3 linked regions of the Canis lupus familiaris genome follow. The main gene of each other region encodes a partner of the protein of the gene in region 3 in a complex. Links are inferred from orthologs where the notes say so. Each region holds a gene or a part of one and is shown on either strand. Other genes may lie near its edges. The genes, in order: ARNTL, CIPC and CLOCK.

Region 1 (9,858 bases), on a different chromosome or scaffold from region 3:
CACATCTGTCAACAGTAAGACTAGTTACCAATCGGGGCGCCTGGGTGGCTCAGTGGTTGAGCATCTGCCTTCAGCTCAGGGCGTGACCCCAGGGTCCTGGGATCGGGTCCCACATCAAGCTCCCTGCAGGGATCCTGCTTCTCCCTCTGCCTGTGTATCTGCCTCTCTATGTGTGTGTGTCTCTCATGAATAAATAAACAAAATCTTAAAAAAAAAAAAAAAAAAGATTGGTTACCCATCACTGCCTCCCGGCACAGGACTAGCCACTCACTGCACACGCACCATTTCATCTGGTGGCTCCCCCCAGCAGATCCCAAGGACGGTGCTTAGAGAGCAGACTCTGGAGTCCTCTGGCCATAAATCCTGCCCCGCCCCACACTAGCTAAGTGACCTTGGGCAGTTTCCAAAACCACTACACTTGTAAAAAAAAAAAAAAAAAGAAAGATAATCATGTACCTACCTCATGGGGTTGTTGGGAAGGTTAAATATGTTAAGAAACATAAGGTGACTAACATCTTTGGCGCACAGAAAGTGTTCAATAAAATGTTAGCCACTAATACCATCAGTACTATTATTTCTATTTTGCAAATGAGGTAATAAGCAGCTAACTAATTTGCCCAGGTCACATATTTCAAACAGTAGTTGAAGATGTAAATATATGGAAATGTTTTACTTGGTATACATACAAAATCCAATGGGTAGCATATTACCCAGAATAGGATATCCAGCAGACCTCCATCCCCTTCTTTAACCAGGCTGGATGAACATGAGTTTACGCTGTTTGAAAGGACAGCATGTACTAACGTAAAAATCATTTCTCATCATATGCCAGCACTCGACATTCCCCTAAAGCAAAGATGACTAAAGCTGATCCAATCTCATCCCTCTGACCACATTAAGTCCCAAACTCAAATCTCTCCTCCCTGTAGATCTAACTACTCCTGGCCATGTCCAACGCACGTCCCTGATGCACCCCATCCCCTCATCTCCTCCTCAAAGGATCATTAATTGAGATTGGACAAGCACATCCTGAAGGCGACTTGGGGAAATCAAGACGAATTCCCCCCCAAAGTGCTTAGCCTGAGCAAGGAGGGGAGCTAGTCCCCGAAACAGCCCAACACATGCAGCAGTGCCTACCAATTCAAGCTAAATCCAGGCCTTGGGGACACTGCTGCCAGGTGTGAGGAGGAAAACAACCACAATGAAGAAATAGCTCCTGGAGGACCAAGCTTTGAGCTGGGTCTTAGAGAAGAATAAGATTTTGGCATGAGAGAGTTGGAACATGGAGTGGGCCAAGGGCTGGTCCAGGGAACAGATAGCCCCTCAGTTTGACTGGATAGTCCTGTGCACACAGCCAGGCAGGCTGGATATGCAGAGGCAAGAAGGAGAAGCACCAAGAGCTAACACTCACTGAATGCTTGTTGTGTGCCATGAATAGCTTCATGTATTTTTAAATAGTTTTAACTCACTTAATCTACACCACAACTCTTTGAGGTAAGGACTCCAGCGATCCCAGGCTTATCACTGAGGAGACCAAGACCTAGCAAGCAAGGAACTTGACCACAAATCATAAAGCTGGTAAGGAAGAGTTAGGATGTGCAATCTGCACTTTTCACCACTCAAACAGACTGCCTCTTGGGACAGCTTGGGGGTCGAGGGGTACAGGCACCAGTGCGATGAGACAGCACTTGCAAGTAGCATGCAGCCTATGACTCCAAGATCACAAATGCTGGCTCCAGGGGCCATTAATGTGTACGATGAACCTGCTAGCAGCTGAAGCAGGAGAGACAGATTGGGACTGAAAATGGGACCCTGGGTGAGAGGAACAGTATGAAGAGCAGTGGGCAGGGCAAACACCCACCTTTAAGGGTGTGCAGGAAGAGGACCAAGAAAGCATCATGACCCAAAGGCTGAAGGAAGAGGGAATTTGAAGACGGATGGAATGAAAGGTAGGGGAACAGCTGCAGAGGGACCCAGAACAACCATTCTGGATTAAGGACAGGCCCCTGGAATTCAAGACTTAAAGTTTTTGGAGATCTGTGAGAACAACAGAGAAGGGTTGTAGAGAGAGCAGCCAGAGGGTGGGAGTGACAGACAGAGCAAATGAGAGAGTGGAAGAGGTGAACGTTCACAGCCCTGCAAGAGGCTGCCGGGCAGGGAGAGGGGAGACAGACATCCAGATTCAGGGGTACCCTGTACAGACAAGTGAAAGCTGCCTGCTGCATCACAGGCCCACAGAAGGGCTGTTTTTCCCCCCCTTCTGTCCTTCCTCTACTAAATTGAGATGAATGCTTTTCTGGGGTTGGTGAGGAGGCTGAGGACAAACAGCATGGAGGATATTCAGGGGGCAGGACCCTGGCAGCGGTGGGAGGGCGTGGCAGCAGGCGCTGAGGGAGGGCTTCCTGTGTGCCAAGCATTTTACATGCACCATCTCCCTTGATCCTCACGCAGACTCCATGAGACAGGCACTGTTGCTACACCACAGGGGAGGAGCCTGTGCGCAGAGGGGTCAAGCACTTGTCTAATCAGAACCCAAGTCCTAAGTCCTGGCACCAGAGTCCAGGCTCCCGCCCAAAGTGAAGGTCCAAGAAAAAGAAACAGAAGAGAGAGATCCAGTTGCTTTTTCTGAACTGGAAAGAGAGGAGGAGACATGAGGGGGGTGGGGGGTGGCAGGACATTTTGAGCAAGAAGGAAGAGATGCTGACAGTTCAAGTCGGAGCAGGTCCTGTTTTGAGAGAGAAAGAGGAGAAAAGCCAGGGTGGGTGTTTGGGGTACTTTTGTTGTGACAAAGTGGCAAAGTGGCAATGAGGAAAGAAAAGACTGCAGAGGGTGGCGTGCCTGTGTTTCTGGGCTCTTCACTAAACCTCAAGGTCTAGAGAGGATTTTTTACTTCCCTGCCAGTATCTACCGTGATGCTAACTAAAATCATCCTGTAACTGTAACGTCGTAAGGGGCAGAAATTGTTTCTTTGATACTGACTTTCTCTAACCACCCTCAGAGCTGATGTTGCAATCGCAAACAGAAGAAAGCTCACAGAAGGAAAGCAACTCTTACACCAAAGAGAGATATTAAATATTTAGTTTTTATATACTCTCATGCAGTTTTGTTAACATAGCCAAGTCTTTCCACAGTGCTCGTTCATCGTGGAATACATAAATTGCACAGAGATTGCTGGCGTGGAAGGATAAATCTGAAAACACGGCCACTTCCTTTTCTTCCATGTGGTATGCAAACCTCTTCTGCAGAAGGCAGACAAACTCCCGAGTAGTCATCATTTTATAAATCATTCGAAATGGATTCTTTAAAAACCCCATCTGTTGTTCTGTTTAAGTTTCCTGTGAAAATAGGACTTCAGCTCAGATGTTCTGGATGTAAATACCAACCTGAACTCAAACGTATTAAATATTAAGAGATGTAGAGGACTCTAGGGCAGGAGGTACCTTTGAGATCACCTATTTCAACTGCCTTACTTTCCATCTGAGGCAAACAGAACCCAGAGGGGTTCAGTGACTTGCCCCAAGTGGCACAGCCGTGAAAACCCAAATCTGGGCCAGAACCAGCATGTTCCGACTCTCAGGCTAGTGCTCTTCCACCGCTTGTTCCTTTCTCTCGCCTTCTCTTTAAACTTGAGGGGTTGGAAAAAGGCGTACATTTAACTACAGTTTAAATTATTCTTCTTCACTGGCTACATCTAACCATCAAAACAAAATACCTCCACAGATCCAGCTTCAGATGATATAGGCAATTCCAAAGCCTTCCAAATAGCTTCAACAAACTGTTTTGAAAGACTTACCAATCAAGTGAACTCAGTAACAGATCATGGACCAAAAAATTCAATATTTATGTTTGAAAAAAATATTTTTGGAGTTTCATTGATATGGAAATGTAATTTAACAGCAGTGACTTTTTTTTTTTTTTTTTCCTTTTACTTGCAAGCACGAAGAGCATGAGATTATTCTAAACTGCTCAGGAGCAGCACTGATTATTTTAAGCTCATGATTCAACCAGTACATTAATTAAAAACTCCACCAACCCAAATTGACAGATCCTGATATCAATGGGACCAGAAGAATTAAAATAATAGTTGTCACATAAAAATAGATTAAAGTGGGGGAACAGCAGCAGATGTCAGAAGGACAGGCAAGCCTTGTGGGAACCGAGATGCATCATCTAATGGGCAGCGTTTGTGGATTCTTAAAAAAAATAAATAAATAAATAAAAACGAAGACCCTGGAAATACAGCTACAGTCAAGACATGCTTCCTCACAAATACCGAATCTTATTTCTGGAAGCTAGGTGAGAAAACTCGGCTAATAACTCCAGGCTGGGGAGCAGCTCTGTAAGCAGGGAGCAGAGACTAGCAAGGCTCCTGGGCCGGGGAGGGGCCAGGGGCCGAGCAGAGGAGGGAGACGGGGATAGGGACGTGGAGGGAGGGTGTCAGCCTGGTCCCCCGTCGGCCGGGGCAGGCAGGGCCACCCGACGCCAAGGTCCAGGGCGCCCCTTCCCCCCCCACCCCCCGCCCCGCGCCGGCCCTCGGACACCTGCCCGCGCCCCGCGCCGCCGGCTCCCGAGACCCCTCCGGGGGTCGCTGACTCAGGCCCCGCGGTCGGCACCCACTCCCACTCTTGCACTTGCACCGCCCGGCACACCGCAGCTCTCGCGGCCGTCAGCGCCGGCCCTCGCGAGCGGGAACCTTCCTTTGCTGACATCTGTCAAGCCCCGCGCTGGGGCCGGGCCGGCTGCGCCCTCCGCGGGGCTCCGGGGCTCCAGGGCTCCGCGGGCGGGCGGCGGGCCCACGCCTGGACGCCGGGCGGGCGGGACATCCCCGAGCCGTCGGGCACCTGCTCAGAGCCCCACGGAGGATGCTCCCGGGGCCGCCGGGGACACGGGCGGCGCGGGCCGGACGAAAGTTCGCGGGCTGAGGTCCGCCCCAGCCGGGGCCCCACATTCCCGGGGGGGGGGGGGGGAGGGACGGGGGGGAGGGCAGCGCCCGGGCCCCGCGACGGGACAGGGCCGAAGGGGCGAGCGGACTCGCGCTCCCCGAGCCCGACGGAGACGCCCTCCCGCCCCCTCCCAGCCCCGCAGGCTCTGGAAAGGGAAGCGCAGGAGATGGCGAGGAGGGAGGGCAGGAGAGGCGCTGCTCGCCCAGCGCCCTTGGGGGTGCAGCCGTCAAGAACGGTCCACTCGGGGGTCCCCCCGGCCCCCCCACCCCCCGCCCCAGCTCCCGGGGATACATCCTGAGACGCGCCCTGAGCCGGATCCTGGCTCCCCAAGGGCGGAGCTGCCCCTTTAAGAGGCAGCTGGCGGCTGCCTCCCGCCCCGGCAGGTAGCGATGCCCGCGGAGGGGAGGTGGGCGCTCCCGCGGACACTCTCCGGTCCCTTTAAGGGCGCCTGCGGCACCTCTGCCCGCCCTACCCTGCAGCGCCAGCCCCCGCGGGAGAGGATGGGGGCGGCCGCGCGCGGCGCCTTTAAGGGGCGCAGCCTCCCCGCGGCCGGGTGGGGGCATGGGAGCGGGCACGGGCCCTTTAAGGCCGGCAGCGGGCACGTCGGGCAGGGCGCCCCGGCGGCCGGGCTGCGCCCCGGGGCGGTGGCGGGGGCGCCGCGCCTGCCCGGGTGCTAACGGCCCCCGACGGGGAGCGCGGGGCCGCGCCGCTGGCCGCCGCCAGCCCGACACTCACCGAGGCTCGCGGGAGCGCCCGCGTCCGCGCCCCCACTCGGATCCCGCGGCGGCGGCGGCGGTGAGTCCGGCGCGGGTAAACAGGCACCTCCGTCCCTGACCTACTTTCTGCCTTCCCTAAATGTCGCACCACTAACCTACTTTCCGACCAATCCGCTCCCCGCCGGCCCAGGCCCGGCCCCCCGCCCACCAATCGCGGCGCCCAACCCCCCTTCCCCGCCCACCAATGGAGGAGCCGCGGAGCCCGGATACCTGCCTCTCCCCGCCAGCCAATCCGGGCGCCCGAAGGGAGCCGGGCTCGGCGGCCGGCCCCGGCCAATCGGCGCGCGGCTGCGCGGCCCGCCGGCCAATGGCGTGGCAGCCGGGCAGCCCGCCGGCCAATGGCGTGGCAGCCGGAGAGCCCGCCGGCCAATGGCGTGGCGGCGGGGGGCCGGGCTACCTGCCGCTTTCCCGCCACCAATCACGGGGCGCCCGGGAGCGCACGCCCCGACCAGCGCACCAATCGGCGCGCCTCCCCCGGATTTCCTCGCCCCGGCCGCGTCCCTGCCCCTTAGGGCTCGGGCTCGGGCTCGGGCTCGGACTCGGGCTCGGGCTCGGGCGGCCGCTGCGGGCGCGGACGCCGCGCTCCTCGGGGCGCCGGGGCTGCCCCTCTCCGCCCGGGGCCCTGGCGCGCGCGCTCTGCCCCCTCCTCCTCCCCCTCCTGCCCTCGGGCACCCTGACAACAACCAAAAAAAAAAAGAAAAGAAAGAAAAGAAAAGAAAAACCCAGCAGCGCCTCCTCGCTCGCCTCCCTCCGACTCCATCTAGGAAACCAGTCTTGGGAACGCAGAGCGCCGGACCCCGAGCAGCCGGGCTTGCGGGGTCCAAAGGGAGCGCGGCCTCGGGGTCTGCAGAGGCGCCCCGCCCCGGGCCCCCGCCCCCCCCCCCCCGCCCCCGCGCCCCTGCGGCCGAAGGCTGGCCCCGGGAGCGGACGGAAGGGAACGGCTACCAACAAAATGAACGGTCTCCTCGCAAGGACCCGTCGCAGGTGCTGAGAAGACGCGAGCCGTGGTTGTGCACCCCAAGCACTTAGCAGAGGCCTCCAGCGCGAACACCTCCACCTTCCAGATGTTGGGCCCCCCGCGCGGGACGGCGACGTTCTTCCCCGCCTTCCTCTCACTCACCCCGCGCCCCTCGGGCGCCTCCGGGGAATGGGATGGACGGCTGGGGGCAGGGGCCTGACGCCTAACCGAGTGCTTGAGGCAAGAACCAGTGGATGCAAACCTCTGCCCTCAGCTCCATGACCCAGACCAGCCCCTCTGACGCTGGAATTGTAGCCTCTTTCCTTGAACACCAGACACTGCCTTTCAATTGTAAAAATCCTTGCTGTCCCCAGCTCACTGCCAGGCACGGAGTGGTTGCCCAGTACGCGCCTGCGGCCGGTGTATTGACTGTTGTCGAGGTCACCCAACTTCACTGGTAGCTCACTATCTTTCCTAAATTTATATGCAGCTGGGATCTGATTGCTGTTTACGTCGTCCCCGCCCTGATCTCCTAAGGAAACCACTCTACCGAAGTGGCATTTCTAGCAATGCACTTAACAAGATATTCGCGGACAAGATGAAGAAATATAGGCCCGGGTTCTAGTATATAGTTGATTGTAGTATATATACTAGCCCGGGTCTAGTATATTAATTGGATGAATAAGTGGTTAGGTAGGTTAAGTAACCATAACCTACAGACGCTGACTAATGAATCCATGTGCTGAATGCTTTCCCTGCAGCTTCTCCCTTGCCCCTCACAACCCTACCTTACAGATGAGGAAACTGAAGCTCAAAGCGTTAACCAGCTAGTCCAATATCACGCAGTAGGTGGCAGAACCAGAAACCAAACCCAAGTTTATTTGACTTCAAAACCTTCATACCATACCAGTTCCCATCAAGAATGACAGACGGACTGGGTGACGGGCACTGAGGGGGGCACTTGATGGGATGAGCACTGGGTGTTATTCTATATGTTGGCAAATTGAACACCAATAAAAAATAAATTATTAAAAAAAAAAGAATGACTGACAGCTGTCTGCAGGGCCTAGGCTTCAGGACTTTTATCGGTGCTCCGAATGAAAACCCAGACGGTTTGCATCACATTTCTAGATGACACAAAACTAGGAAGGGAAGAGGTGTTGTTGCATAGCATCAGCCAAATGCAATCTGGGAGCAATGGGCTAGCTCTCCCAGGGATAAATGTGGAGGGGGGGGTCCCACCCTGGGAAACTAAATGCAGAAAAGCAGAGGTATCTAAACAGATGCTTATAAGAGCAAACCTAATGGGTCTTAGGGGGCAGACAATGCGATCTGAGTCCTCAGTATGGCTGCCCAGATAAATGGATGCTTGTCTTAGGCTGCATCGATAAAAGTCTGACATGTGAAAGCAAGTTGGGTGTTACAGTACCACCCAGTGTTGGTCATCACACACATAGTGTCTCCAGTTAAGGTCTGGCAAAAGAAAAGTAAAAACAGGCACAAGGAGAGAGACCAGGAAGTCAAGAGGCTGGGAATATGTCATATGAGGAAAGATTAAAGGAAGCAGAAGATTTTTGCCCCAGGAAGTATAAGATAACTGTCTTCATACATGTGAAGGGCTGTGAAAGAAGAGAATTAGGCTCATTCTTCAAGCCCTGAAGGGTGGAAGGGGGACCTGTAGTAGAACCTCTAGAATGAAACAATATGAAGAGTTTTCTAACTAATAGAACCTCCTCTGCCTTGATAAGTTGAATCTCCTGTACAGAAAGTGTCTACATAATAATTGGATGACCATGTGGTGGGACGGGGCCTGGAACAGGTGTCCTTCCAGGGCTCTGCCTCTCTGAGATGACATGGTTCTACCTTCATACCTTGGTCCTCCTCTTTTAAAGTTTATCACCCTGACTTTTCAGTGTACCCTCAGTACCCTCAGTACTTTTCAGTACCCTCAGTGGCCCAGCTACTGTTTCTCCTCAAGTGACCCTGTTCTCCCATAAGTAGCTATAGTTGTGTTTATTTGTTTGTTTTCTGTTGGAGATCCCAAGCAACCTCCATCTTCCACTGGGACTCACTTCCCTTTTATTTTCTACCTACCAGAATACTGGTTTTTAATTTTCTGGGCACTGTTAAGGTTGAAGTATTGTCCTGAATCTAAAATTCAGTGGGCATGAATAAAATTATATAGATAAAAGGAAGGGGATAGGGAACATTTATTGAGCACCTACTGTGTACCATGTGCTTTAGATACATTATCTAATATACTATCCTCATTAAGTCCAGCAGTTGATATGCTTACTCTCCACACTTGCCTAACTGGATGGCTTTTATCAAGCAACACTAGTTTCCTCATCTGTAATATGGGGTTAATCTAGTATCTACTTCACAAGATTGCTGTGAGAGTTAAATGAGACAATAGATAGAAAATCCTTAGCATAGTACCTGGCACACAGGAAAGATTCAATACATACTAGGTTAGCAATTTATGAAAGAGGTATTTACTGCACCCACTTTACAGATAAAACCAGTGAGGATAAAATAGTATAATCCACAGTAGTTCCCCAAACTCTGATCCAATGGTCAGATCCCTTAGAATTAACTGAGGAGGTCTTTTTTGTTTTGTTTTGTTTTGTTTTGTTTTAATACAGATTCTCAAGTCCTAATTTGGAAGATTCTGATTCAAAATCTTTGGTATCTGAGAGGCAGTCCTATTTGGGAACTGCTAGTCTAATGGAATAAATCCAGACCCCAAAGTCAAACAGACATGAAGTCAAATTTCAGGACTGCTAGATTGAATGGAGGAGCCAATAATAGGACCAGGAAGTTAGGTAGTTGTGGTCTCTTTGGAAGGAAGCTGAGAAGTCCTAAGACGGACGTGTTTTTCTGTAGAAAGCCAGGTAGGAATGTGTTGCTAAAAATAACATTAATAACAAAGAAAATTTAAAAAATAACAACAATATTTACTACAGGTTTACAATGTGTCAATGCTATACTAAGAGCTTTATATGCATCAACTCTTCAATTCTCTCAAACCCCTATAAGGTAGATTCTTTTCTTATTCCTATTTTACAGATGGGAAAACTGAAGCACAGAAAGGTCCTGAGATCCCAGGCTAATTAGGCAATCAGAACCCAGAGCCCACACTCTTAACTGCTTCAGCAAATCACCTCTTCCTTTAGACAAT
Region 2 (9,938 bases), on a different chromosome or scaffold from region 3:
AGCAGGCTCCATGCAGAGAGCCCGATGTGGGATTCGATCCTGGGTCTCCAGGATCACACCCTGGGCCGAAGGCGGCACTAACCCTCTTAGCCACCGGGGTTGCCCTCGATCAGCATTTTAAAAGCATTTTGGATGCTGGACTGAAAGTAAAGTGAAGGGAGGTAAGAGAGGCACTGAGATCACTCAGATACTACCACAGTAGCCAGGGTGAATTAAAGTTGTAGCAGTGGAGATGGAGAGAAGCGAACAGACTGGAGATCTATTCAGAAAGAAGACTTGATGGGAATTGGTCATTGCATGTTGGGAGGTAGATGGTGGTACCATTTCCTAAGCTAGGCAGCCCAAGAATTGCACAGAGGGACTGGGTGGGGTGGCTAGGCTGGTCCAGTCTTGGCCATGTAGAGAGAAGTGGCCGTGGGTCATCTGAGTGGAGACGCTAGGGAGACTGTCACATGTACAAGTGGGGAGCCCAGAGAAGTTAAAGAAGCCTAGACTTGCCCCAGTGACACACCTTGTCCATAGCAGATCCAGAATTTGGCTAGCAGTGAAAAGAATGAGACAAATGAACCCTTCAAAGGGCTGGCAGAGGCTGAGAACATTCTACATATTTTAACAAGGACATCTGAATCCTGTGGAATGGCAGTGGTTAGGATGGCATAAGACCACAAAGGCCATTGCAGGGATAAAGAGGACAGGAAAAATGGCAAGGGCAATGAAAACTGGGTAGAATTCATATGTTGAAATCCTAACCCCTAGAGAGGATGGCATTAGGAGGTGGGGCCTTTGGGAGGTGCTTGAATCATGATGGTGGAGCCCTTGTGAATTCGATTAGTGCACTATAAACCAGACTCCAGAGAGATCCCTTGCCTCTTCCACCACAGGACTGTGAACATTCTGGGACCCAGAAGACGACTGTGCTCATCCCCTGATCTTGGACTTCCAGCCTCCAGAACTGTGAGAAATACATTTTTGTTGTTTATAAGCTACGCAGTCTGTGCTGTTTTGTTACAGCACCATGAATGCACAAAGATATTAGATATAAACAATGCTTGGTGATGTTTTAATTCACAGTCCACTTGCGGCTCCATCCATTCATCTTTCTGAGTGGAGCGAAACACGAGCTCCCTGCCAAAGGGCACTGTATCTGGAATACCCTGAAATGCCACGTCTGAACATTTCCCTAGCAGAGGATCTAGTGAAGAACATCAACTACTCCAGAAGCAGAGGAGCAATTTAAGATAAAATTAAAGACAAGGATGTTTACGAGCAATCATTTTGCTCCTACTTTTCATACAGTAGAAGTGGACTAAAGGGAAATCTTCTTTTCTTTTTTTTTTTTTTTAAGATTTTATTTATTCATGAAAGACACAGAGAGAGGCAGAGACACAGGCAGAGGGAGAAGCAGGCTCCATGCAGGGAGCCTGATGTGGGACTCAATCCCAGGACCCCGGAATCATGATCTGAGATCACGCCCTGAGACGAAGGCAAACGCTCAACTGCTGGACCACCCAGGTGTCCCTAAAGGGAACTCATCTGAATGAGACTGAATTTTAAACACAACTCCAGGGGCACCAGGGTGGCTCAGTCAGTTAAGCATCTGCCTTCGTCTCAGTTCACAACCTCAGGGTCCCCGGATTGAGCCCTACCTCGGGCTCCCTGCTGAGTGGGGAGCCTGCTTCTCCCTCTCCCTCTGCTTGTTACTTCTCCTGCTTGTGTGTTCGCTCTGTCAAATAAATAAAATCTTAAAAAAAAAACAAAACACAACTCCAAGTAAAAACTATTTGGACCATAACTTATTCAAGGGGACTGGCTTCCCCGCTTCAGTCAGTCAAACCACTCTTACACAGGTCACAAGTTAAGTACCATGTGCACAAGATACACAATGGCACTGTGCAATCTTGCATAGCACAATAGAAAAGTGATATCTCTAGTGGGTAGCTATGATGTTTGACAGCATGAATAATCCAGTTGAAAAGGTAGACCTGGGAGGCCCAGTGGTTGAGCATCTGCCTTTGGCTCAGGTCATGATCTTGGGTCCTGGGATTGAGTCCCGTACTGGGCTCCCCGCGGGGAGCCTACTTCTCCCTCTGCCTGTGTCTGTGCCTCTCTCTGTGTCTTTCGTGAATAAATAAAATCTTAAAAAAAAAAAAAAAAAAAAGTAGACCGAAATGTAGAACTGCATCTCTAATTTAATCAGGATCCTTTTGTATGGAACCCAACAAATGTGCATAGTTTCATTTTTCTGAAGTAATACCATGGAAAGTAAACCCGAAGCTTCTTCAAAATGGAAGGAGATGTAGCTTGTAGATGGGCAATGAGACTTATTCAAGTCTGACCCTGCTGTTGATTTTGATCAGGAAGGGTAGCTCATGTTAGTTGCAACTAATTGAGCACTTGGCAGAGTTCCACATTACCTTACTAGAGATGAATTATTTTACAGGTATTTTCGATAAAGCACCCCAGTTTGGTCTATAATCCTTTTGAAAAGACAACGAAAAAGGTCTTGCTACTGTTACTGTTACTGTTAGTGTGGTCAACGGAACTACAGAAGATATGTAGGAATTTTCTGGCTCATTGAGAATGTGCAGGACAATACTAATTGTGGAATCAAAACACAAACATTGGCCAATAGGTTAAAAGGAGAACAGATGCAAAAATGTTAAGCCCCAGAAAATTGGTGGCAGCTGGAAATAAAGAATGCATAATCCACTTTAGAACAGCACACAGGGGAGGCTGGGTGGTTCAGTCGTTTAAAAATCTGCCTTTGGCTCAGGTCATGATCCAGGGGTCCTGGGATCGAGTCCCACGTTGGGCTCCCTGCTCAGCAGGGAATCTGCTTCTTCCTCTCCATCTGCTCACGCTCTCGCTCTCTCTCTCAAATAAATAAAATCTTAAAAAAAAAAAAAAAGGCAAACTACTTTGGATGTGAAAGTGACTAAAAACATGGAAGCCTCTGTCCTAAGTAGAGTTCTTTTTAAGCCTTGGGAAGGTTTCCATGGGATGGGTAATGAAGGGCTACATCATCCCACCTTGACCTGTCCTCTCTGAGAGGAGAGGCACTGCCTTCCTGGGTGTGGCATTGGGGACGTCAATGAGCCAGTGAACAACAGATCCACTCATGCACAGCGCCACGTGAGGCCCATGACATGAGACAAGCACGCAGCGGGGGAACTTACTACCACCGCTCTCAAATCCAAGGCCCGTGCAACCAGCAGTCTGAAAACCTTAAGATTTTTTTTCCTCTTCAATATTATTTTACATTGAACTTAGATGCTCATAAGCTGACTAGCAGTTGGGAATGGGTTACTGAGCTCTCACCCACCATGCCATCTCCTGCTTCCTGGCACAGACTGGAAACCACTAACGCACCCTGCTTTACAAACATCTGAGGTCCTCACATGTCTGACTTTCCATTGAAAGGACTCCAGCTTAAGTACCCTTAGACTGTCAGAATCGACCCTAAAGGGGCCTCTTCTAAATGCAACCGTAACACATTGTCCAAAATGTTCCCAGAGGGAAGAGTACACATGAAACTCATAATAGAAAGTGAATTGAGGGTGACCTGGGTGGCTCAGCGGTTTAGCACCACCTTCGGTCCAGGGCCTGACCCTGGAGACCCAGGATCGAGTCCCACGTCGGGCTCCCTGCATGGAGCCTGCTTCTCCCTCTGCCTGTGTCTCTCACGAATAAATAAATAAAATCTTAAAAAAAAAAAAAAGTGAATCGATAAATACAGAAGTTTATATAAATAAGTATAACATAAAATTCTAACAAGTGCTCCATAGCACTTGGATCTTCTATTTTTACACTCCTTACATTAGGGTCTAGTTATTTGTCTCCTCAACCTCAAGAGTTCTCTTTTTTTTTTTTTCCATCTTTGCAACCTCAACCCTGCACAATTAATATGTGAGGTCCTCAACAGAATAATACATTCCAACAAATCTTCTGTCCTGCTGAGTCTCGCTGACAGCAGAGCAGCTTAGCTGTCACCGAAATACCTGAACAGCTTGAAGGTCAAGACTGCATTTCCAAACACCATGATCACCTCAAGATCTAACTTCCAGGTCTGGTCTCCTGTGAGAAACAGGTATCTCATCTACCCCTTATTCTAAGGTGAAACCTCAGGGGTAAATCCACCAACTGAATTAAAGGTTGTCTAATCCACAATCTTTATGGAGATTTAGGCTTCTGATAAAAGGGAGACCCAAGGTTTACAAGGAAAGGATCTGAAATGCTGCTCTCAGATCTTTCCTTTTATAGACACTTGGCAACTTTCCCAAGAGCTCAAGTTCCCTTTAAAATGCATCACGTGGATAACATGCGTGCATGGACAGAGGTGTGAGGTGAAAGCCCAAGCAGAGGCTTAATTACAAAAAAAGCACAAGGCCATAAAAATTAAGACCTTACCACCCAGAAAATCATGAGTAATCCCAGCTAGAATTATAAATACATTACTGGCTTTTCCCTGAAGTTATTTTCTCCTGGTGTCCATGTGGGAGATACCACTCGGGGGAAATGTCTGTGTGTGTTAACAGAGGGAGGACCCCGTCCCCCAACCTAAATCTCAAATATTCATCCTCCCCTTTCACATCCACTTCCATTCTCCAACTTGGCTGCAAATTTATGTCAAAGATCCCAAACCCCGATTCCACACGATGTCCTGTTTGGAGGACCAGATATGGCTCCCTCCATTCTCCTCTTTCAAAGAGGAGATAAGATCAGAGAAATTCTCCAAATCCCCAGCTTCCCAGAAGGGTTCACAGTAACAGTGCCCACCTCCCCGTTCGCACCAGCCCACGCTGCATCTGTGCCAGACAGTAGGAGCACCCTCCAGGCATCCACCAGCCTGCCAGCTCAGCAGGGCAGAACTGGGCAGACCCTAGGACTGTGCTGTGACTGGCATACCACCAGACTCCCGGGGCAAACGCCCAGGCAATGTGCACTGCCAGGGCTTGGGCAATAACAGGGAGCCCGGCTGCGGCCTGTGCCCTGAGCCCGGCTCAGAACTACCCGAACCTCCCCCCACTAAGCACTAACTCCTCACTTGGCGCTGCGCACCTTCTCCCCCCACCTCCCCACGCGCTGGCACCATACCTGGCAAGCTGGCCACCCGGGAGACACAGCCAGCCAAGTGGGTGACAGCAGGTCTCTGCAAAAGGCAGCACCCCTGCGTCCCGGGCCGAGGAAGGGGCCCTACGTGCACCCCCACCCTGGAGGCGCGGGGCCCTCCCCGCGCTGCCAGCCCCGCGCCCGCTCACCTGCCCGTTCCCCGCGCCTCTGCTCGGAGCCCCTGGAGGCCTGCGGGCTCGCCGCCGCCCGCGCCCAGCAGACCCAGCCCAGGGCCCCGCCGCCCCGGCCGCGTACCCCACTCGCTCGGCACGCTCGGCCCCCGGGCCCCGCCGCCTCCTCGCCCACGCAGCCGCGCCCCTCGCAGCCACCGCAACCGACTAAAAGGGGGACAGACGCACCGCCCCCTGCTCCCACCTTTCGGCCCTCCGTCCCCCCAGAGTCTGGCCCTCTCTTTTGCCCACGCCGCTTCCCTCCTCTCCGCTACTCCTGCGCCTTGGCCCACGCTCCCGGCGCGGACCCTCTACCCCGGGGCCCAGCCCTCCCACTCTCACCTAGGGCCGAGGTCGCCTCTCCACGACCGGCCCCGCGGGTCAGGCGGCGCATGCGCGAGCCCGGCCCCGCGGCTCCATGACAACCCCGCCGGCGCCGGGTCTCGAGCTACTCCCCACCCCCACCCCCACCCGCGCGCCTCCCGCCCATTTCTCCTCCCTCCGCCTCCGCGGCGGCGCTCTCCGGCCACGTGACTCGGCTCGGAGGACCCGGCACCATGGAGACCGCCGACGGTTCTCCTAGAAGGGCCCCGCCCCCCACCGGAAGGCGAGGCGGGACGCCTCTCAGGGAGGCGCGGGCGTCCCTAAGAGGCCTACACTCTCTCCGCGGGAGGCGGGCGTCTCTATGGTTGGTTCCGCGGGTTCGCCGCCATTTTGTACAGGGTTAGGGTCAGGGTCAGGGTTAGGGTTAGAGACCCCTCCCCACCCCGCCCCCTCCCCCAGCGCAGAGCCGGGCGGGCACGGCTCCGAGGCGGGGTTTGGAGGAGCCACGGGGGGCCGGGCGTGGAGCGGACCCGAGCGGACGGAGGTGGCCGAGGGAGTGGCTCCCGGTCTGTACGCAGGGACCCCCGCGGGCCGGCGGTGCGGACGGGCCTGCCGGCGGGCACGTGGGACGGTGGGCGGCGCGGCTGGGCTGGGCGGGCGGGCGTTCCCAGCCACCTGGAGACGGTGGTGCACGAGGCAGGGGCGCGGTCGGTGCTTCTGTCGGTGGCTCCGCGTCGTTGGACGCACGCTTGCTTGCTTTGCCCCCTGCGACCGCGCGAGCTGGCGGGCTGTAAGTGGGTACGGGTCACAGCGAGCACGCGTGTACAGAAGCTCAAGGAAAAGGGGCCGGGATCACCTCTCCTGCATCCGAGCAGGGAGGGCTCCTCATTAGGAGACGGTCCTTCTAAGGTGCATGCACAGGGACCGACAGGTGGAGGCGACTTCTAGAGCTGCCCTATCTAGTCGCCGCTTAATCACTAGCGATGGTTTATTTTTTAAAGATTTTATTTAGGGCAGCCCGGGTGGCTCAGCGGTTTAGCGCCCGCCTTCGGCCCAGGGCCTGATCCTGGAGACCCGGGATCGAGCCCCGCGTCGGGCTCCCCGCGTGGAGCCTGCTTCTCCCTCTGCCTGCGTCTCTGCCTCTTTGTGTGTCTCTCATGAATAAATGAATGAAATCTTTTATAAAAAATTACAAAATTTCAGAGATGACTGGGTAGCTGAGTCGGTTAAGCCTCTGCCTTCAGTTTAGGCCGTGATCCCAGGGTCATGAGACTGGAGTCCAGCCCCTGACCCCTGCTAAGCAGGAAACCTGCTTCTCCCTCTCTTTTAGCCAATCCCAACCCACCCCCACCCCCACCCCCGTGCTTGCTCAGGCTCTAGCTCTCAAAAAAAAAAATATATATATATATATAATATATATTATAAAAATATATATTATATATTATAACGTATATATTTTTATATTATAAAAATATATAATATATATGTTTATATTATATATATATATATTTAAAAGAAATCTAAAATTTCCAGCGCCTCATTTGCACCAGCCTCATTTCAAACCCTCCATGGCCACGTGTAGCTAAACGGCTACCTTATTGGGCCTCGCAGATGATAGCAGCACATTGCCAGTATCACAGAGTTGTATTCCACCACCGGATCGGGATCACGGGTCGGGGAGGAAATCGCCCCGTGTTGGTAATCCGAGCCTTTTTAAGCGCTGCTAGGTCATGGTTAATCACGTTAGTCCTCTAGACACAGATAATGCTAATGCATTACTCCACATCAATGTTTTTATTAGCCTAAGCCCCACCAACAAATAATAATTGAATGCCTACAGCGTGTAAGGCTTTTGTTGAGGGGATGGAGGGAGTGAAAACAATAGTTAACAATTATCAAGTAATTAAGATCCAGGCAGCTTTAACATGCATTCTCTCACGATGCTTCTGCAAATTTATGAGGTTGGTGCTCCTATCATTTGTAGTTGACAGATATGAGAGCAATGAGGTTTATGCTACTGATGACACAAACTACTAAGTCAGAGATCTGAACCATTAACCATATTGCTTCTTTTTATGGGGGGGGGGGACAGAATAAAACAGTCTTTGTCTTCAGACACCTTAGAATCTGATATGGGAAAGACATGCTCTAATAAACTATGTGAGAATGTTGTTAAGTGTCAGAGGATTCTGACCATAAGCTAATTAATAAAATCAAGGAAGAAAAAAAAGAGCCTTCAGTTGTTTTTTTGTTGTCGGAGAAGGAAGAGAGCAGAAGGTAAAGCTTTAAGGACAGATAAAAGTTGGATTTACGATAATGGAAGTAGATGAGGGCATAATGCATACCAGGCAACAGGGAATCAATGAAATAAGGCAAAGCGTGAGGATTATTTTAGTCCCCCAAAGGTGCAAGTAAACCAGACTTACCTTATTTTACCTGTTTTATGAGCAGACATTCATGCTGCAGCAATAACTTGAACTTTAAGGACAAGTTTGCTAATGGAACCAAAATCAGACCAATTTAATTTGACAGGTGTGATTTTTGTTGAGTATGGATTTATATAACTAATGATATAAAATAAGCAATTCGGGGCAGCCCTGGTGGTGCAGCGGTTTAGCACCGCCTGCAGCCCAGGATGTGATCCTGGAGACCCGGATCGAGTCCCACATCAGGCTCCCTGCATGGAGCCTGCTTCTCCCTCTGCCTGTGTTTCTGCCGCTCTCTCTCTCTCTGTGTCTCTATAAATAAATAAATAAATAAATAAATAAATAAATAAATAAATAAATAAATAAATAAATAAATAAATAAAATCTTTTTAAAAAATAAAATAAGCAATTCATAAAAACAGGTAATTTTTTAAATGAATAATATTTTTATATAGCTAAACCAATGTAAAAAATTTTCTTCCTGGGATCCCTGGGTGGCGCAGCGGTTTGGCGCCTGCCTTTGGCCCAGGGCGCGATCCTGGAGACCTGGGATCGAGTCCCACGTCGGGCTCCCGGTGCATGGAGCCTGCTTCTCCCTCTGCCTGTGTCTCTGCCTCTCTCTCTCTCTGTGACTATCATAAATAAATAAATTTAAAAAAAAATTTTCTTCCTGGCTTTGTTCATTTGCCAGGGTTTGTAAATCAGCATCTTTGTTGATGGTTTCCTTGGTGCCATGACTTCTTTCATCTTTACTGTCACGCTTACATTTAGGCTAAGGTTCCTATGAGGAGAGTGGGTATCAGAGCACAATGTCTTCTTGCTGAAGAGTCCTTTCCAGTTGGAGTTCTCCGTACCCCTTGTGTTCAAGACTCGTTTTGCCACCACCACTGCCAGCAGGGGGAGACCTGCTCCCTTAAATGCTACACTCAAGGTTTTGCAAATTGGCTTCTTTTCCTTTCTCCGGCCCTGGAATGCTGCAGCATGGAGTCAGAAGCTGCACTTCCACCCAGCCTACTTTATTAAGCTGTTGACTCCCTTGTCCATATGAAGATTTGCATTTCAGTCCTGCACAAGGATGCCAGGAAGAGTCAACCTTGTGTTCAGTTTCGTTTGAAGATATTTTCAAGTATACAATATGGTCTATAATTTAAAACACTTGTAATTAATTGTCTAATACTTATTTTAATATGTAAAGTTGAATTTAAAGTTAAAATTAGCTTAGAACTATTTTAAAGTAATTGAAATAGAGTGAATAGAGTGAAAGTATTCAAAAGATGAAGTTTCAAATCCCTGCTTCTATCAATATCATTTTATAAAATAAGGGCATTTTGGCCAGCCCAGGTGGCTCAGTGGTTTAGCGCCGCCTTGAGCCCAGGGCGTGATCCTGGAGACCCAGATCAAGTCCCACGTCAGGCTTCTGCATGGAGCCTGCTTCTCTCTCTGCCTGTGTCTTTGCCTCTCTCTCTCTCTCTCTCTGTGTCTCATGAATAAATAAATAAAATCTTTAAAAAAAAAATAAGGGCATTTTAACATCTTTCCCCCACATATACCCAGGAAGGAAGATAGGCCATAATCTCATGATTTAAAAATGAAATAATTTCTACTTCATGAAAAATTCATTGCATGCTTCTTATTTTTCCAGTTTTGTTGAGGACCAGTGAAAACATCACCTCAAGGCATCAGTTCTTGGACCAGCACCTGAGAACCATCTTGTATTTTCCCAAACCTTAGTCTGGCCATCTGTCAAGTAGCTATCCTCTAGACTGAATCTAGCATTAGACTCACAGTGTTTTAAGAGGATTTGCTGGGATGATAGGTATGTGTATACTCTGGAGTCCCAGAGCCGTGAGTTGGTGAGAGAAGAGGACAGGGGCCCTAGCCTGTGCATGGGCAGAGGGATCTACAGGTC
Region 3 (9,181 bases):
AGTGAACCGTTCTTCCATCAAGTGGCTGCTGCAGCCATATCAACCCCAATGGAAAGTGAGTTTCAACCTGGCTGGAGAAGAGTTTAGGAGGTCGGGAGAGTTTTCCAACTTGTTCCTTCTTTGCATAGTCTCCGTCTCACTAACTGCTCTTTACATCCATTTTCCTATATTCTTTGGAATTGTTACTAGTTAATAATTTTTAAAATTATTACCCCTATTTCAAATTTCTGGTATGGCTTCTGCCTTCTGACTGGATCTTGACTGATTAGAAGTACACACTGGCATTAGAAGACCAGAGCTCACGAATGCCTGGGTGGCTCAATTGGTTAAGCCTGCAACTCTTGATTTTGGCTCAGGTCATGATCACAGGGTTCTGAGATTGAGCCCTGACTGCTTCTGGCTCTGAGCTCAGCATGAAGTCTGCTTGAGATTTTCTCTTTCTCCCTCTCCTTTTGCCCCTTCCCTCTCACACACGGTGCATGTGCTGTTTCTCTCTCTCTAAAATAACAACAAAAAAAGAACAGAGCTCATATTGTGGCTCTACCATTTCCTAGAACAAGTTGCTTAATTTCTACCATTTAACAAATGAAAAAGTAGCCTGCTCCTAGAATTATTTATATCAAATTCTGTTATCCCTAGAATGTCCTCTTTGTACACACCATTAGGTTATAAAAATCTAACAGATAACTAACCATATTTTTACTCATATTTTCAACTGAAACTGTTCTCAGACAAGTATGAAATGTAGACTTTTACAAACTAAGTAATTATGAATGAAAAAATGCATACAAGAATGAAAACAGTTATCCTACTTCCAGGATTTTCAATCTTATTTCACTGTTTCACTTGAGTCATAAGCAGCTTCTATTTACTAGCTTGAAATTTAGCCACACTTAGTGATTCATCACTTAAGTGTATAAATGCTCATTTAATTATTTCCATGAATATTTAGCTTAGGACATAGTTTAGCAGAAAGAATTCCAATTTATTGGAAAAGCATCTTAATCTTAAAATAGTCTCCTACAGGGGCACCTGGGTGGCTTAGTCAATTAAGTATCTGCCTTCGGCTCAGGTCACGATCCTGGGGTCCTGGGATTGAGCCCTACACTTTGGGCTCCCTGCTCAGTGGGGAGCCTCTGCTTCTCCTTCTGCTCCTCCCTCCATGTACTCTCTTGCACATGCTCTCTCTCTCTCAAATAAATGAAATCATAAAAAGAAAGTCTCCTTGAGTGAACTGCATCTAAAAGTGAGAAATGCCCTCCCACCAAAAGATTTTTTCTCTATCTTCAAAAGTTTGTGTTGAGGATACTGAATATTACTCTTCAAAAGGTATACAACTCTGACTTCTGAAGTTGACAATCATCACCTCATATCCTGCATTTGATTACACTATGACAAAATATTTCAAATTTTGTACCTCAGCTCCCTCATGCCTTAAAAAAATATTATCCAAAATGTTATAATTATATCATATGATGTATCTTATCTTAAAAATTATTTACACCTTTGGGTAAACATTATATTGTCATCACTTAAAGGATTTCTATTAAATGCAAATAAAAGATATAAACAGAAGGCACAGTAACAGGAAATAAAAAATAAAAGGAACTAAGAGGTAAAGTGGCTTTCTCACTCAACAAAATATGAGATCTGACACTTGTTAACATTTTTGACATAGCAGACATTATTAATTTCATGAAAATATCCCTTAAAATGTTAAGAAATACTCATTCAGTATCTTGAGATGAGTGAACAAATAATATTGAAAGCACATCTAAATATTTACATAAAAAATCTGTTAACCTTCAGAACAAAAAGCATTTGAGGACTCAATGTTGATAAAAACTATTATGACTACAGATAATACGTAAGCACCTTACATGATCATGTTGCTGTAAGTCAAGATTACAATGTTTAGGTAATTTACAACACTGTCAATATATTTGTACAGGTCTCATATAATGGCTATAATTATGTACATATAATTTAAATAATAACCATATAAGATAAAGGTATTTTTAGAAAACCATTTTTACCTATTGTTAACTATCATCATTTGAAATACTAAGTGAAGATATAGTTAAGCAAATAAAACAGTTTGGATTCTTTTTACCACTATCTAGTATTTTTAATGTGTTTGAGGCACTGAATGAATGCAGAGTCATAAATTACAAGTTGGGAAGTTATAATCAGAAGTAACTTCGTGTCCCTTTTGTAATACCTCTCCTCTGTCTTGCTATAGGCCCCTTCAGGACTCAGCCCAAGCAACAATTCTTCCAGAAAGTTTTCCTTCACTTCCTCAGGCTGCATTAGGAGTCCATCTAATGCACTCACATATCAGCCTATACACCTTAAGCACAGACTACATAACATTAGCAATGTAGTTCTAGGTCATTGCTTTTAAATGTTTAACAGTATACTTGTATTTGTACTGCCGGCACCTGCAATAACTCAAGGAACTCAATAAATGTCCCATATACAAATGAATGGATACATGAATAAAATTACTTGATTCTTCCAATATCCATAGGAATAACAAAATCGACAGCTATATTTCATCTTTAATATCTTTCTGTCTATACTCTCAGTGGGGGTGTTATAGCATATAAACCAGGATAATTTTTTGTTGTGCAAAACTGTCATGCATACTGAAAGACAACTAGCATCCCTAGCCCCTGCCTATTATGGGTCAGTGGTACTCCACAATCACTGACAATCAGAAATATCCCCCAGACATAAATGCCCACAGGTGAGATTCACTGCACTAAAAATATATAGATTTTTCAAATCTTTATTAGCTTAAAAACAATTTATCATTTTAAAATACTCAACTCAAACAAATAAACAAAAATACCTGGGACATGCCTTGTGGAATTGGTAAATTTGCAGCTTGAGACATCGCTGGCTGTGTTAACGACTGACCAACAGACTGGGAATTTATGGACTAGGAAGCAAAATAAAAAATAATACTAGAGTGACAATTACTCCCATCCATAAGTACTTCCACAGAAATACCACATGGCATCTTTATAACTGAACTACAATTTGCCTCATAACATTTTTAGCTGAGTACAGGTGTATGCACATCTTCCCCTCTACACTGGACATGCCTATTCCCTATTTATCCTTTTATCTTCTAAGACATCTGCCACATTATTTTGCATGGGCTTTCAATAAAAGTCAAATGGACATAAAAGTGATTAGTATTCAAAACTAGATATAAATGGTTTAATTATTAACTTTTCTTAATTAAAAGAAATGTCTAACATTATACCTGGAAAACAAGCAAAAGGAGTATGTTTGAGAGCTATTTCACAAAAAGGGAAAGATTGCAAGTGTTATTTATCAACAGCTATTTTGATCTTTATAGAAAAGGATAATGCATTAATGAATTTCTAAAGATTTAGATGACTTCCCCCTCCTTCTAATAAATCTTTATTCAGAAGAATATTAAGTAGGAAAGTTTACCTGACTACTAAATGATGCCCTCCTTGGCGCCATCTTTTCATGAGATGGTAAATGTGGTCTGGGAGGAGTGCTAGTGTCCGTTGGGATCTTTGTTGGTGTTGCTGAGGTTAGTCAACAAAAATGAAATAGTGTTAGTACTTTATAAAATGTTAATTCCCAAGGATTAATCTCAAAATGGATTTTGGTGAATAAAAATAATATTTCAACTATTTTTCTAATTATTTTATAAAAGGGAAGTCTGACAATAAGAGGATTCATTTTGATTACTTCTTTCTTAAGGACAAAGAAAATCTTTGAAATAGGCAAACTTTAAGCTTAAAAATGGTTACTAGTCGGGCAGCCTGGGTGGCTCAGCAGTTTAGTGCCGCCTTCAGCCCAGGGCCTGATCCTGGAGTCCTGGGATCGAGTCCCGAGTCAGGCTCCCTGCATGGAGCCTGCTTCTCCCTCTGCCTCTCAATCTCTCTCTCTCTCTGTCTCTCATGAATAAATAAAATCTTTAAAAAAAAAAAATGGTTACTAGTCCCCGAACTCAATAGTAAAAAATCCTAGTAACTCAATTAAAAAATGGCCTAATGACTTGAATAGACATTTCTTCAAGAAGATACACAAATGGCCAACCAGAATATGAAAAAATGTTAAAGGTCACTCATCATCAGGGAAACACAAATCAAAATCACAATGAGATACTACTTCACACCTGACAAGATGGCTATTATCAAAAAAACAAGAAGTGTTGCTGAGAATGTAAAGAAATTGGAATCCTTGTACACTTAAAATTGGTGGGGGGATATGAAACGGTACAGTCACCATGGGAAACAATAATGGAAGTTTCTCAAAAAATTAAAAATAGAACTACCACATGTGATCCAGCAATTTCACTTCTGAGTATTTATCCAAGAGAACTGAAATCAGATCTCGAAGAGATACTAGCACTCCTATGTTCACTCACTGTAGCACTATTCTTTATAGCTAAGATGTGGAAACAATCTGTCTACTGACAGATGAATGGAAAAACAAAATGTGGTAATATACGTACAATGAAATACTATTCAACCTTTAAAAAGAATGAAATTTTGCAAGTTATGACAATTTGGATGAATCTTGAGGACATTATGCTAATAAGTACAAAAACCCAAAGATGAAAAGACAAGTACTACATGACTCCATTATATGAGGCATCTAAAATACAGAAATTCATTGAATCAAAGAGTAGAATGGTGATTGCCAAGGGCTGTGGGGGGATACAAGAAAATAAGGAGTTATTAATGAATGGGTAAACTGTTTCCGTTAAGTACAATGAATAAGCTCTAGAGATCTGCACTACAACCTACAGTCAACAATAATGCATTGTATGTTTAAAAATTTAAGAGGGTAGACCTCACTTTAAGCATTCTTATCACAGTAAAATAAAATGTATAAAAAGAGAAAAACAGCTTCAAAGGGGAAACTTTTTTCTCCAACATTTCAGAAACTCCATGTTTAACACCTCTAATGGTCTACTCACGGTGTTGAGTGGTTCCAACAACCTTTTTCCTTACATAGTTTTAATACCTGGGAAATAAAAGTGCTAAACTCTTTAAACAAAAAAAGGTCACTAATTCAATGATAATTATACAAGTCTTCATTAAAAATAAGAACTAAAAATAACATTCAAAAAGCAGGCTTAAAAAAAAAAAAAGTGGCTGGGTGGCTCTGTCAGTTTAATCATCTGCCTTCGGCTTAGGTCATGATCTCAGGGTCCTGGCTTTGAGCCATACATAGGTCAGACTGCCTGCTGGGTGGGGAACCTGCTTCTCCCACTCCTTCTGCTCCTCCTGCAACTTGTGCATTTGCACTCTTCCTCTCAAATAAAAAAAAATCTTAAAAAAAAAAAAAAAAAAAGCAAACTTAAAGAACACTGGCTGGTTCTACCAGTAAATAAAGGAATAAACAGTTTTGCTTTTTTATTTTTGAGGGATGATTAAAAGCAACTTAACAATACCAACAGTACTACCTAAACATTTTATAGGCTTCTTTATAAATTTAATTCTTTGTTAAATGTGAGCGACATGCTTTTTGCTCATTGGAAGGTTAGTATATTTCAGAGATGCAAAAATTTATCATTTTATTTTTTAAATTTATCATTTTGAAGTAGCATTTCACCCACCTTCCCACTTGTCTCCCCTCTGGCAAGCAACCAGTCTGTTTTCTATATTTAAGAATCTGGTTCTTTGTTTTTTCTTTGTTCATTTGTTTTGTTTCTTAAATTGGTGAAGTGGATCAAGATCTTATCATGATGAGCACTATTTATAGAATTGTTAAGTCATCATATTGTACACTTGAAGCTAATATGACACCATATGTTAATTATAATTCAACTAAAAAGAAAAAGATCTAAAAAGAGTACTTCAATCAATACTACAGTAAACCTTTCCATATAAGAAATAAAGTAGCATTTGATGAAAAATGCTGATACTAGTAACACATTAGAAGTACTCTCTTGAGAGAAAGTGCTTTCAAGCTAGGATACTTACAGGAAGGGTCTGAGACTGCTGTGTGAGATGATTTTCTTGAACTCCGGGAGGAAGCAGACGGGGTTGGGCTGTGATCAAACCTTTCCAAGGCTTCCTTGAGACTGACTGTGTTTATACGATTATCAGACCCAGAATCTTGGCTCTAAAGAGACAGAGTAAAATAAATGTATTCTTGAGATTCAGTTCAGAGATTCCAAATTAATGATACAGCCTGCTACCCCTTCCTCCCCAAAATCAGTTTTTACCCACAACAAGGCAAAGGTACCTGTGTAATATTAGGTAAGGAAATAAAAGTTTCTTTTCTATAGCCAGAAAATTTTGGCTTTATTCTCTATTTACAGAAACAGATGTGAAAGAATGAAGCTATAGTCTTTCTTAATTTATACCATATATAAAAATTAACTCAAATAGATCAATGACCTAAGCATAAGAACTAAAACTATAAAACTTTTAGAAGAAAAGGGGAAAAGCTTTATGACCCTGGATTGGGCAGACTTCTTGCATGTGACACTAAAAGCATAGGAAACAAATGTGCATCAAATGACACTACAAATAGAGTGGAAAGGCAGCCCATGGGATGGGAGAAAACACTTGCAAACCACTTATCTGATAAGGGATTAACACCCGCAATATATAAAGAACCTTACAATTAAACAGCAACCTTCCCCCGAAGAATCCAATTTATTTTTTTTTTATTTTTTAAAGATTTTATTTTTATTTATTCACAGAGACAGAGAGAGAGAGAGAGAGAGGCAGAGACACAGGCAGAGGAGAAGCAGGCATCATACAGAGAGAGCCTGATGTGGGACTCGATCCAGGGTCTCCAGGATCACGCCCTGGGCTGCAGGTGGCCCTAAACCGCTGCGCCACCAGGGCTGCCCAAATCCAATTTAAAAACAAAGGTCTTACAAAGATATTTCTCAAAAGAAGATACATAAATGGCCAATAAAACACATGAAAAGATGATTAATGTCACTAATCATTTGGGAAATGCGTATCAAAGCCGTGAGATAACCACTTTAAACCCATCAGGATGACTATTATTTAAAATAAAAAAACAAAAAAAAAAAACAAAACAAAAAAAAAACAAAAAAAAAAATAAAATAAAAAAACACAAAATCACCAGGTTTGACAAGGATAAACCGGAAATTTTGTACACTGCTGGTGGGAATATAAAATAGTGCAGCCACTAAAGAAAACAGTATGACAATTCCTCAAAACTTACATATAAAATTACTACATGATCTAGTAATTCCATTTCTAGGTATATACTCAAAAGAATTGAAAGCAGACTCAAACAAATATTTGTACACTCATGTTCACAGCAGCATGATTCACAGTACCCAAAAGATAGGTGCAACCCAAGTGTGCATTGCTAGATGAATAAACAAAATGTGGTATATATCCATACAGTGGAATATTACCCATAATCAGCCAAATCTATCCTCAACCTCACCTCTGAATATCCATTTGCTGGCCTGCTCTAACTAAAACCCAGATGTCTCTAGAAAATACCGCATTCTTAAAGATCTTTTAAGTGGTGCCTATTTTCTATCTCCTAACCTTCAGAACCCTGCTCTGGAGGGGAACAAAAGTCCTCCTACTGCTCTTCCCAGAACCTTTCCCTTTTCTTCTTTCTCAAAACTCATAGCCAGAATCTCACATTATCACTATATGACTACCTCTTATTGCTGCAGTCATTTACTGACCTTAAGGTCACTCCTCACTAAATACCTGAATTCAAATTTCTGCTCCTGGCTTAGTCTTTTCCTCACTAATTCTTACTTCCACAGTTACCAATATCAATTCACATGTTCAACATTATGACTTCTCTCTTCCTCGACGTCTTGATCTTGATTTCTACCTGTCCTTAGTCACTCATTCTTAGTCATAACCTAGACCTTGTCATTACCAGTAAGAATAAACTTTCCACAATTTCAGTTTCAAACATTGATCAGCATTTTCCATATTTCCTATTCATTTCTCCTTAGTATCCCAACTCCAGTAATCCTTTAGTGGAAGATAAAATACATTGATTGTACCATATTTTCACAATCACTCTCTCATTTTATGTCTTTTCTCCCTTCTTCACCCAGCTTAAATTCATGGTTAATTATCAGAATCACACTCTTACAGTTGTCATCAACTCTCTTACTCCCACCTCCCTTCACACCACACTCCCATGGAAAAATCCCAATGCTTATTAGTCTATTCTGAACATGGCTGAAGAAATACAACATGGCAACTGTTTTCTCTAAATTAATGGCCAAGAACCTCAAGCAGGTCCTTAATCCTGCCTGCCAAACAGACTAAAATTACTTTGTTCACTTTCCTACTCCTAGAAAACAATTTAATCCTTGCTCCTCTCTTCTCAAACCTCCAACAAGTTTTCTCCTAACCTCACTCTTAGCTGGTTACTCTACTTCCTAGTTCACTGAAGAGTACTGCGATAAGCTATTATTATATCAATCTATCTAGCAGCACCTGTACTCATGTATTTTGCCTTTCTTCATGTCACTACAGATCAGGGATCAGCAAACACTCTCTGTGAGAGTCAGAGTCAAATACATAGGCTTTGAGGGCCACACAGTCTGCTCCAACCATTCAACTCTGCTGTTAACAGCACAAAGCAGCCACAGGCAGTATATAAACAACTGAGTGTGGCTGTGGAATCAGGATATAATTTTCATGTGTCACAAACATTATTCTTCTCTTGATTTATTTCAATCACTTAAAAACATCTGGAAAACACATTTTTAGCTTGTGGGTGTTACAAAACCAGGCAGAGGACTAGATGTGGCCTAAAGGTCATAGTTTGCCCAAAACCCTTCTTGTCACTGAATAGTTTTTCCACTAGCTAAGCCCAATCTGTCCACTTGTGGACTGGATCCCATCTTCTCATCTACTCAAGAACACTGCTCTAGCATTTCTTTCTTTTTTTTTTTTTAAGATTTTATTTTTTATTTATTCATGAGAGACAGAGGGGGGCGAGCAGAGACACAGGCAGAGGGAGAAGCAGGCTCCATCCTGGGACTCCAGGATCAGGCCCTGGGCTGAAGGTGGCCCTAAACCACTGAACCACTCAGGCTGCCCTGCTCTAGCATTTCTCTCTCTCTCTCTCTCAGTAATTCTTCTCTCCCCAACAGACCATTCTCACCAGTATGTAAACATGCTATTATTTCTCCCACCTTAAAAAGCAA

The links.
Region 1: the proteins of CLOCK (region 3) and ARNTL are in contact, whole or in part, in a crystal structure (PDB 4F3L), measured with the Mus musculus proteins. The link is inferred for Canis lupus familiaris from reciprocal best matches to the Homo sapiens genes CLOCK and BMAL1. Residues at the interface, in NP_001276755.1 of Mus musculus: Arg46, Gln49, Phe50, Leu53, Ile54, Glu56, Leu57, Met60, Leu61, Pro62, Lys70, Ser71, Leu74, Gln75, Ser77, Ile78, Phe80, Leu81, Arg82, His84, Lys85, Thr88, Glu95, Ile96, Gln98, Asp99, Trp100, Pro102, Phe104, Leu105; in XP_030097882.1 of Mus musculus: Lys70, Met71, Phe74, Ile75, Glu77, Leu78, Ser80, Leu81, Val82, Asp93, Leu95, Leu98, Arg99, Ala101, Val102, His104, Met105, Lys106, Leu108, Arg109, Gly110, Ala118, Tyr120, Lys121, Pro122, Phe124, Leu125, Asp127, Asp128, Glu129.
Region 2: the proteins of CLOCK (region 3) and CIPC are in contact, whole or in part, in a crystal structure (PDB 5VJI), measured with the Mus musculus proteins. The link is inferred for Canis lupus familiaris from reciprocal best matches to the Homo sapiens genes CLOCK and CIPC. Residues at the interface, in NP_001276755.1 of Mus musculus: Gln519, Leu526, Lys527, Leu530, Arg533, Ile537, Asn540, Ile541, Arg543, Gln544, Glu547, Leu548, Ile551, Gln554, Leu555, Val558; in XP_006515773.1 of Mus musculus: Asn401, Thr402, Val405, Leu406, Ser409, Leu411, Ile414, Thr415, Thr418, Leu421, Ile422, Asn425, Thr428, Gln429, Leu432, Leu435, Lys436, Thr439, Gln440, Phe442, Ile443, Thr446.

The regions. Positions count from the first base shown.
Region 1 is NC_049242.1:36,825,287-36,835,144, reverse strand, and holds the start of ARNTL (aryl hydrocarbon receptor nuclear translocator-like protein 1), read right to left. Parts: upstream 5,834-9,858; 5' UTR 5,679-5,833; intron 1-5,678. UniProt on the Homo sapiens protein: Transcriptional activator which forms a core component of the circadian clock.
Region 2 is NC_049229.1:50,240,776-50,250,713, reverse strand, and holds the start of CIPC (CLOCK-interacting pacemaker), read right to left. Parts: upstream 6,158-9,938; 5' UTR 6,134-6,157; intron 5,752-6,133; exon of another isoform or gene 5,622-5,751; intron 5,618-5,621; exon of another isoform or gene 5,485-5,617; intron 5,360-5,484; exon of another isoform or gene 5,259-5,359; intron 1-5,258.
Region 3 is NC_049234.1:48,468,309-48,477,489, forward strand, and holds part of CLOCK (circadian locomoter output cycles protein kaput), read right to left. Parts: intron 6,124-9,181; coding exon 5,982-6,123; intron 3,570-5,981; coding exon 3,469-3,569; intron 2,945-3,468; coding exon 2,855-2,944; intron 1-2,854. UniProt on the Homo sapiens protein: Transcriptional activator which forms a core component of the circadian clock.